2 linked regions of the Saccharomyces cerevisiae S288C genome follow. The protein of the gene in region 2 binds, or shares a complex with, the protein of the main gene of each other region. Each region holds a gene or a part of one and is shown on either strand. Other genes may lie near its edges.

Region 1 (4,379 bases), on a different chromosome or scaffold from region 2:
ACATTTACGTCATTTCTGGAGAACTTGTCCGAGTATAACGAAGTGGAGAATGTTAATGAAGAAGATAGAGAAATGTTTAAAATTGATTGGTCCTTCTGGACTCAAGTAGTTAATGATTATGCTACAGTGGCAAGCAACGAACCAGAAAATTTAGAAGCCCATGTTACCAATGGGATACCACCACAAATTCGAGGTATCATTTGGCAGCTGATGGCGAATTCCAAATCAAGAGAAATGGAAGATATATATGAAACTCTATTGGATACCGAATGTCTTCATGAAGCAACAATACGTAGAGATTTAAGGAGAACGAAGTTTGTGGCCGAGGACAAAATGGAGTCACTATACAAGGTAATAAAGGTGTATTCTGTTTATGATCCAGATGTTGGGTACACGCAAGGCATGGGGTTCATTGCAGCGCCGCTATTAATAAACTGTGAAAACGAGGCCGAATCTTTTGGACTACTCGTTGGATTAATGAAGAATTATGGATTAAGAGAGCTTTTCTTACCAGGAATGCCTGGGCTGATGTTAATGCTTTATCAATTTGATAGATTATTAGAGGAGCATTCACCTTCTTTGTACAATCGCTTGATCCGTGAGGGAATTAGCTCCACAATGTACGCTACACAATGGTTTTTGACATTTTTCGCATACAAGTTTCCGTTAGAGTTTGTGTTAAGAATTTTTGATATTGTATTCGTAGAGGGTATTGAAGTGCTTTTGAAGTTTGCTGTAAATTTAATGTTAAAGAATGAAGAAACTTTAGTAAAATTGAGATTCGATGAACTATTGGATTTTTTAAAGGACGAACTCTTCAATTACTATTTAATGGGAAACCAGGATGACGCTTCTGTAGTGCAAATGGGATTGTCAAATGGGAACTCATTTAAGGGCAATGATGACGGCACTTTTTCCTACAATGTCGATCTTTTCGTTCATGATGCAATGACAGGTGTATATATCACACCATTAACATTAAGAAGATACAGGGGAGAGTACGTAGAAATCCATGAAAAAGAGCAAAAAAAAGAGGACCACTACGAATCACTAAGAATTCAAAACCACCAACTACAAAGAGAGGCGCAGAAGCTAGAACACGACTATTCAATTTTGAACAAAGAGAATATCAGCGCCGCTAACGAGCTGATTCAGAACAGATTGAATATGGAGATGCTGTTGGATGAAAAAAACGACCTGATAAATACAATCACTGATATCAAAAGCCAAATTGAGGAAGAGATTCGCAAGCAAAATTTACCGAACCCGGACGCGTCACTACCAAAGGCAGATCTGAGAGAAGACTTGGAAAGGACCATATCCAGGAACAATGAGGTGATGAGGGAGAACGGCCAATTAGAGGAAAGAATCACTGAACTGCAAGCGGAAATCGATGAGTTGATTAACATCAATAAGGAGCAAGTGTCCACGGCATCGTTATTGGAACGAGATTCTAAGGCTAAAGGGAGGAAAGGCTGGACTGGTTTTAAAAAAGTTTTTAAATAGATGTATAGTTTTGCGCTGTGTGCACATTGTGTGCCTCTCCAATTTGTGTTAAAAAATGCATCACGACTCGTTTAGACAATGTTGTTGTTGTTGTTTTTTTTTTGACTGTATTTTCACCCGTACATCCACGGATGTGTTGGGTTTTTGTTTCCGCTTTACCGTGCGGGAGACGACCATGACCGAGAGGTCTGGTTGCGAAAGACGCACATACCGCGTGCGCGGAACTTTTTCATTGGGTTGCCAACCAAGGCTGTTCAGGGAAGCCCGACGAGGGAAGCTAGCATGAATGCACTAGGAGAGAGAGAGAGAGAGAGGCAGAGGAAGAGGCACATCATTGCATTTCTTGAATATTCGTTTTAATTAGCGTTAAGTCTTAAGTTCGTGTATTACCATAGTCAAAACAGAATAGAGAAGCAAGGATAATACAAAATGGCTGTCAAGACTGGTATGTTTACCTGAACTAATGAACTGTAGAGCAAAAGCAAAATGAACTGAACCACTAAGCCAACAACAGAAATACAAACAGGATGAGATTAAGCTCCAGAGATATGCAAACATCGTTTATATCCTGCACCCAGCGTTGCAGTACTCCGTGGAGTCTTTGTTTATTTATTTTGCTCGTATACTACGTGAGTACTAGTGTGCTTGTTACTAACATAAGATATTCTATTTTTTTCCTCTAGGTATCGCTATTGGTTTGAACAAGGGTAAGAAAGTCACCCAAATGACTCCAGCCCCAAAGATCTCCTACAAGAAGGGTGCTGCCTCCAACAGAACCAAGTTCGTCAGATCTTTGGTTAGAGAAATCGCCGGTTTGTCCCCATATGAAAGAAGATTGATCGATTTGATCAGAAACTCCGGTGAAAAGAGAGCCAGAAAGGTCGCCAAGAAGAGATTGGGTTCTTTCACCAGAGCCAAGGCTAAGGTCGAAGAAATGAACAACATCATTGCTGCCTCTCGTCGTCATTAAACAGCGTGAGGGGGCCACAGTCAAGCAAATCCAACTCCGCCACAAGACCGAGTGCTATTTTCCATGGCTCTCCCCCAAAGCTAGTTAATAAAAAATAAGTAACAAATCATTATAGTAATTCTTAATCGATATCTATTTAAGAAGTGTAACAGCACATGCAATGAACCGACTTCGTCATTCATTACCTCTGCTTTTCCCTTTTTCAACAGTCACGTGCGCATCTCCCTTCCGGGTAAGCACCGCACATGCCAAAGACCCTATCCTGGCTCGCCCACTCACTCATCTCCATTAGAGACTCAACCACATTTGTGGGTGTGTTACAGAAGTTACACCATACCCACTGTCCTGGTCCGCAACAGTTGCAAAATCAATGATGCCTGCTACCGTCATGCTATCATGACAAACGATGGCACCTTTGCCAAGCAAAAAACTGTAAACAAAACCAAACCAAGAAGTCCCTTGGGGTTGTGAGCCATATTCTCCATCTGCGTTGTTTCATAACCAGCCCAAAGGGTTGCACGTTCTCTTCCGTCGATCTGGAACCAAGCTGTGGCGCTGCGTGGAACCGTCCGGAAATCTACAGAAGCCGTTAGAAGAAAACAGAATAAACACACGTGACCCCGTCAGTGTGGAAAGCCGCGGGATCACCACCGTTATTCGTTTTTTTTAGCACGCGCGCGAAGATGACACATTGCACACCACATGTTTATGACCATTGTTATTACTCATTTCACTGTTATTTTGCATCCACATCCACACCCGGGTGGTTTTGCAATTCGGTAATTACTCCACGGTGCATAAAGAAGCGGCTCTGCGTAAAAAGGTATATATAAGAACAGGACTCATCTTGATTTCGGAAAGGGTCTGGAGCAACTCTCTTTCTTTCTTACTTGTTTTATTCTTGAGAAAACCAAACTAAATTGGCTACACCAAACCAACCAAACTTACACACAATAATATACAATTACAATTATTTACAATGTCCTCTGTGGAATCTTCCCCCATCTCGCGCTATGAAGACGAGGTCTTCCCTCTTTCGTTTTCAAACGTTGCTTTCGAGCCCCCTATGCTCTCGCATAGCCCGGACAGATCGACTTATGCCGATGACTTTTCTCAATCTTACCAGCAAGAATTGCTAACTTTTCCGCTATCGTACCCGATTGTCGATGAGTCAGAATGCACGCACACTAAAGATAAGACGGACAGCAACATAATAACGAGTACTGAAGACGATTGCATGTTCGATATGGAATTTAACGGCAACGCCGCCAGTGCAGTTGCTGCTGCTAGTAAGGAATCTAACTCTGCCTCTGGGTTTGCCTTTGCAAGTAACGATGCCTTTGCCAATGTCGCACAACAGAACTACAGACTGTGGTTGTCATCGGTATGACGCATTTTACCACATCTCTACTTGTTCTCACGACCCCTTGCATCGCATATCCTACACATTTTAAATCGGCATTCCTTCCAAGCATATTCTTAATTCCTAATTTTACATAGTTTTTTTTTTTTTTTAGAGAAAATAACAACAATATACATAGAACTTACTTACTCAATTCTACTATATCTTTTTTTTTTGTTACTATTAGTCATGTTTGCATGACTCCATTACATTTTCGTTTTTTTGCTAGCCAATTCTGGTCGTCGGAAAAACTTTTCATTGAATCTTTCAAAGCGTGTAGCAGTTGCATTTTTTTAAAAATGAATATGTATGCAAAATATATATATGTATATATATGCCTAATATACATAATAATAGAAAAAAAAAACCTCATACGAAATAGGCGCTTCTCGTATCTATACTCAACCCGCCCCCAATGCTGAAAATTGTTACTCGGGCTGGACACACAGCTAGAATATCGAACATCGCAGCACATCTTTTACGCACCTCTCCATCTCTGCT
Region 2 (4,628 bases):
GCAAGGAGAGGCAGTGCCGGAGCCTGTGGAAGAAGAGAGTTAACCACCTCATAGAAAGACAAATAAAGAACTAATCAACGAATGAGAAAACATCTTTAATGGATGGTAAACATATATATATACAGATGTACACTTTTTATTTTTATTGCGATAGGTGTGAAAATGAACGTGACTTGAAACTTTGCGCGCAAACAAATCATATTATGAATTACTAAACACGTCCAGTTTATCTACATTTCTTTTCTTCTTTAATCCGATATAATAGGTCTCCTTTGATTCGTCTCTAGAAGCGTCAGGCTTGAACTTATGAACGTTAGTGAAAACTGCCTGCATTCTTTTTTTAAATAGGTTTTCTTCTTCGCCGGTGTATAGTTTACAAACAAACGAACCTAATGGCCGTAATAAATCTATAGCCGTAACTAAGGCTGCGTCACATAAATCAATAGATTGGTAATGGTCTCTTATACTGACACCAGATGTATTAGCCATCCTAAAATAAGCTTGATTAGTAATGTTGTTCCAAAAACCGGTTGTTTGGGGCCAGGGTTCATACATATCACTTATAATCACATCAACTGGGAATTTTTCTCGTTCTATTAGGGTACTATTCGTATTCGGAGTTTCATAAATGTCATCAGAGGTGAAAATTTCACGGTACAATTCAGTATCTTTCACATGGGTTAGCTCCTCCTCGAGCATGTTCTGGAAATAGCCATGGTCCTTATGCAAATCATCGTGTCTGTTCAATTGGAAATGCTTAGAAAAAAAGAGCCGTATAAGATCATGAGTTCTTTTGGCCAATATATTAGCTTGAATAGAGTTCACACCATGCGGAGGTTCACAAGGGAGAATGTCAACGCCCAGTATCATTGAATTAGGTGAACTTCTTTGCCGTGCTACTTGGGACCAAGCCCCAGGGGCATACCCAAGATCTAGAATTCTCTGATCGGTCCTGTTTTTGCTAAAAAGCCGATATTTATCATCAATCTGCATAAGCTTGAATGCGGCTCTAGACCTCAGATTTTGGACCTTGGCCTCTTTTGTGTAGGGATCCTTCAGTTGTCTATTCAGCCATCTGTTTTGTGAGTTAGAATTATACCGTACATGTATTCGACCTAAAGAAGACGATATTATACTCCTGATACGATTGTACACTAAAATCATGCTGTAATTTTCCCGTCAGTATGTGTAGTCATTACTTCAAACCTCGGATAAGCCCATCTTGATGGCTACGACTTCCATCTATATCAGAGGCTGACATTTTTCTCTCATTGACGGAGACGCCCTTTAACCGGACCTGATCATTTTTAAAAGAACGCCAGTAAAAGAGATCTTACAAATACCAGAGAAACGGTATTGAACCTTCTTCTTTGATTAGAACAAATTACTTGATCTTCTTTTTTAAAAAAGAACTGAAAAATCAAAAACGATACATGAAGATGGTATGTAAGTTAGCTAAATAACTTGCTTAATTTCAAGAAAGGGGACTGTAAAAAATTCAGTTTACTCTACCATTATCTCCATTAACATATCAACTTTTAGATCGCAATGAAGAAGACTGCGTTCATAAACCTTACCTCATAAGGCCAAACAGCTATCAGCTTTTGGCAAAAGTTGAATACGGACATTTTTGAACCCATACATCTTTCAATATGCACGGGTGCAACCTCAAATATTTAAAGTTTTTTTTTCCTGAAACTTTTTTTTCGCACACAATAATGCCATAGACATCTTTTGGCCTCAGATTGGAAAGTCCGAGGAAGAAAGACGCAATCAATGGGAAGAGTGTTGTATTTGGATTAAGATATGTAAGTACATCTTCGCAGCACTTCTTGAGCATTACGTTATTTGGTAACCTCTTGAAGTTTCAGGAAAGACTCCATAGAACTAGTCGCAAGCCTCACGGACCACCAAATACTTTGGAAGACTAATTACATATCATAAAATGTCTAAGATCACCTCTTCTCAAGTCAGAGAACACGTCAAGGAATTGTTGAAGTATTCCAACGAAACCAAGAAGAGAAACTTCTTGGAAACCGTCGAACTACAAGTCGGTTTGAAGAACTATGACCCTCAAAGAGACAAGCGTTTCTCTGGTTCTTTGAAGTTGCCAAACTGTCCAAGACCAAACATGTCCATCTGTATCTTCGGTGATGCTTTCGATGTTGACAGAGCTAAGTCTTGCGGTGTTGACGCTATGTCCGTCGATGACTTGAAGAAGTTGAACAAGAACAAGAAGTTAATCAAGAAGTTGTCTAAGAAGTACAACGCTTTCATTGCTTCCGAAGTTTTGATCAAGCAAGTTCCAAGACTATTGGGTCCTCAATTGTCCAAGGCTGGTAAGTTCCCAACCCCAGTTTCTCACAACGATGACTTGTACGGTAAGGTCACTGATGTCAGATCTACCATCAAGTTCCAATTGAAGAAGGTCTTGTGTTTGGCTGTTGCCGTTGGTAACGTTGAAATGGAAGAAGACGTTTTGGTTAACCAAATCTTGATGTCTGTTAACTTCTTTGTTTCTTTGTTGAAGAAGAACTGGCAAAATGTTGGTTCCTTGGTTGTTAAGTCCTCCATGGGTCCAGCTTTCAGATTGTACTAATCACTTCCGAGCGATTAATACATATCTCCATCTTTTTAAATACCTTTTTTAATACGTATGACTCTAAGTAGTAAAAGTATTATGCATAGTTTTAGCCAGATATTTTTGGGCCCGGAATATATCTTTTCGGGAAGCTCGGAGTATATTGCACCGATCCGATTCTTACTCCATATCATGCCATTTTTCTTTCCTTTCTCAGCGATGTTTTGTAGGAAATCACTTAGAACTTGCCTTACTTTAAAAGCATGTTGAGTGAATTTCACAGATCGATATGCTTTGGTGTTCAATCAGTTCAACCATACCTGCTATTATATAATCTTCGACTCGCATAATATAGGTATTCCATGCGCAAATAGATTACTTGCAAAATGGACATGACTAAAAACCACACCACTGACACAGAGGAGTTTGATGATGGTGATATACGTCCAGTCAGTTTGGGAATTGTGGACGATTATAACGCTTCGTTCGAATTACCTTTGAAACCAAAGTTTTTACAGAGTGAGAATTTCTCAGATTTAACAAGTGAATGGGACCAGTCTAGATCAAATACGCCTGGTCTTGCAGAAGGCAAGACTGAGAAAGCACAGCCATGCGGTACAACAGATAGTTCAAAAAATAGAATACATGTAGAGCAACTGTTGGAATCCGCTAATGAAATGAATAATTATTTGGCGCAGAATATAGAGAACATAAACAATTTTCAGGTGGGGCTATTGAATGGAGGGAAAGGATTATATAGTTCCATGGGTGATGATTCGAGCGCGTGTATTAATGGCACTAATTTTAGCTCAACGTCCAATTTTGAACTAAGTGATGATGAGCTAGAGGATACCACGGGTTGCACAAGTTCTATTTTTGATAAAGATCTTTTCCATCAACAAAACGGGCTAAGCATACCTCGCCGTAGATCACCACTCTTCAAATCTCCAACTGCCAGTTTCGAAATTGGCGATGCTACGGATGTGGAGGAGCAAGATATTGATGACTCCATTTTTTCTGAATGTAGCAGCATTACAAGCTTTGATATGGGAGGGTTGCATATCAGTCTACCACACGATGAAGAAGAAGATCAAGAAAAAACTAAGTCCGAAAGTGAAAACCCGTTGCTACATGGCATACCGGTTGATGTAGAAGTGCCCCACATATCGGTTGATGAAGCTCTGGCGAATTTCAAGGAAACCATAGAACTACTACTAAAACTTAGTGGCAATAGAAAGTGTACCGGTTTCAATACTAGAGTGGAGAAAAAAGAATACTCGAATTTCTACATGAAAAGTAAACCCACCTTATCATCAGCAGATTTTCTCAAGAGAATCCAAGACAAATGTGAGTACCAGCCAACTGTTTACCTTGTGGCAACATTTTTAATTGACACGTTGTTTTTAACAAGGGATGGCAATAACATTTTGCAGTTGAAGTTAAACTTACAGGAAAAGGAGGTCCATCGAATGATAATAGCAGCGGTTAGATTGAGCACGAAATTATTGGAAGATTTCGTTCACTCACATGAATATTTTAGTAAAGTATGCGGTATTTCGAAACGGCTTTTGACTAAATTAGAAGTCAGTCTATTGATCTGTGTGTGCAATACTAAATTAATGGTCAGTAACAGGAAATTAGCCGCCTCCAAATTACTTTTGAATGAACTACGGTCCTTCTGTGTATAGTTGATACAAGTATTTTAGATAATTATTTTAACGAACGTAACGAATGCTTTCCAGTCAATAGCGGCACTGGTAATATGATACAAACAATTTCTCAATAAAACAACGACAAACTTAGTCTGTTTATATTTCCGTGCAATGGTGGAAACCTGTACTCGATATTGGAGAAAACTTCAGAGCTTCCCAACAGTTATCCCGGATTCTTAATTGATGCTCTCGAAACGCACATAAAAATGTGATTTTTTTACTCGCATTAAATTACTGTTGAATCTATGGTTCAAACAAATGTATATTTGCCTACACATCTTTCTCTGTCCCTTCTGTATTGTCTAACCTTAAAATAGAAATATTTCATGGTTTTA

Evidence for each region. Proteins that work in one complex are often made in the same cells at the same time.
Region 1: RPL1B (region 2) and RPL36B share a complex: the UniProt entries of both Saccharomyces cerevisiae proteins name them as parts of the large ribosomal subunit.

The regions. Positions count from the first base shown.
Region 1 is NC_001148.4:73,796-78,174, reverse strand, and holds RPL36B (60S ribosomal protein eL36 RPL36B), read left to right. Parts: upstream 1-1,935; coding exon 1,936-1,951; intron 1,952-2,189; coding exon 2,190-2,476; downstream 2,477-4,379. Other genes in the region: GTPase-activating protein GYP5, read left to right, coding at 1-1,506; ATG41 (Atg41p), read left to right, coding at 3,456-3,866; YAH1 (adrenodoxin), read left to right, coding at 4,294-4,379. UniProt on the Saccharomyces cerevisiae protein: Component of the ribosome, a large ribonucleoprotein complex responsible for the synthesis of proteins in the cell.
Region 2 is NC_001139.9:252,696-257,323, forward strand, and holds RPL1B (60S ribosomal protein uL1 RPL1B), read left to right. Parts: upstream 1-1,945; coding exon 1,946-2,599; downstream 2,600-4,628. Other genes in the region: SEC27 (coatomer subunit beta'), read left to right, coding at 1-43; MRM2 (21S rRNA (uridine2791-2'-O) methyltransferase), read right to left, coding at 202-1,164; PCL10 (Pcl10p), read left to right, coding at 2,968-4,269. UniProt on the Saccharomyces cerevisiae protein: Component of the ribosome, a large ribonucleoprotein complex responsible for the synthesis of proteins in the cell.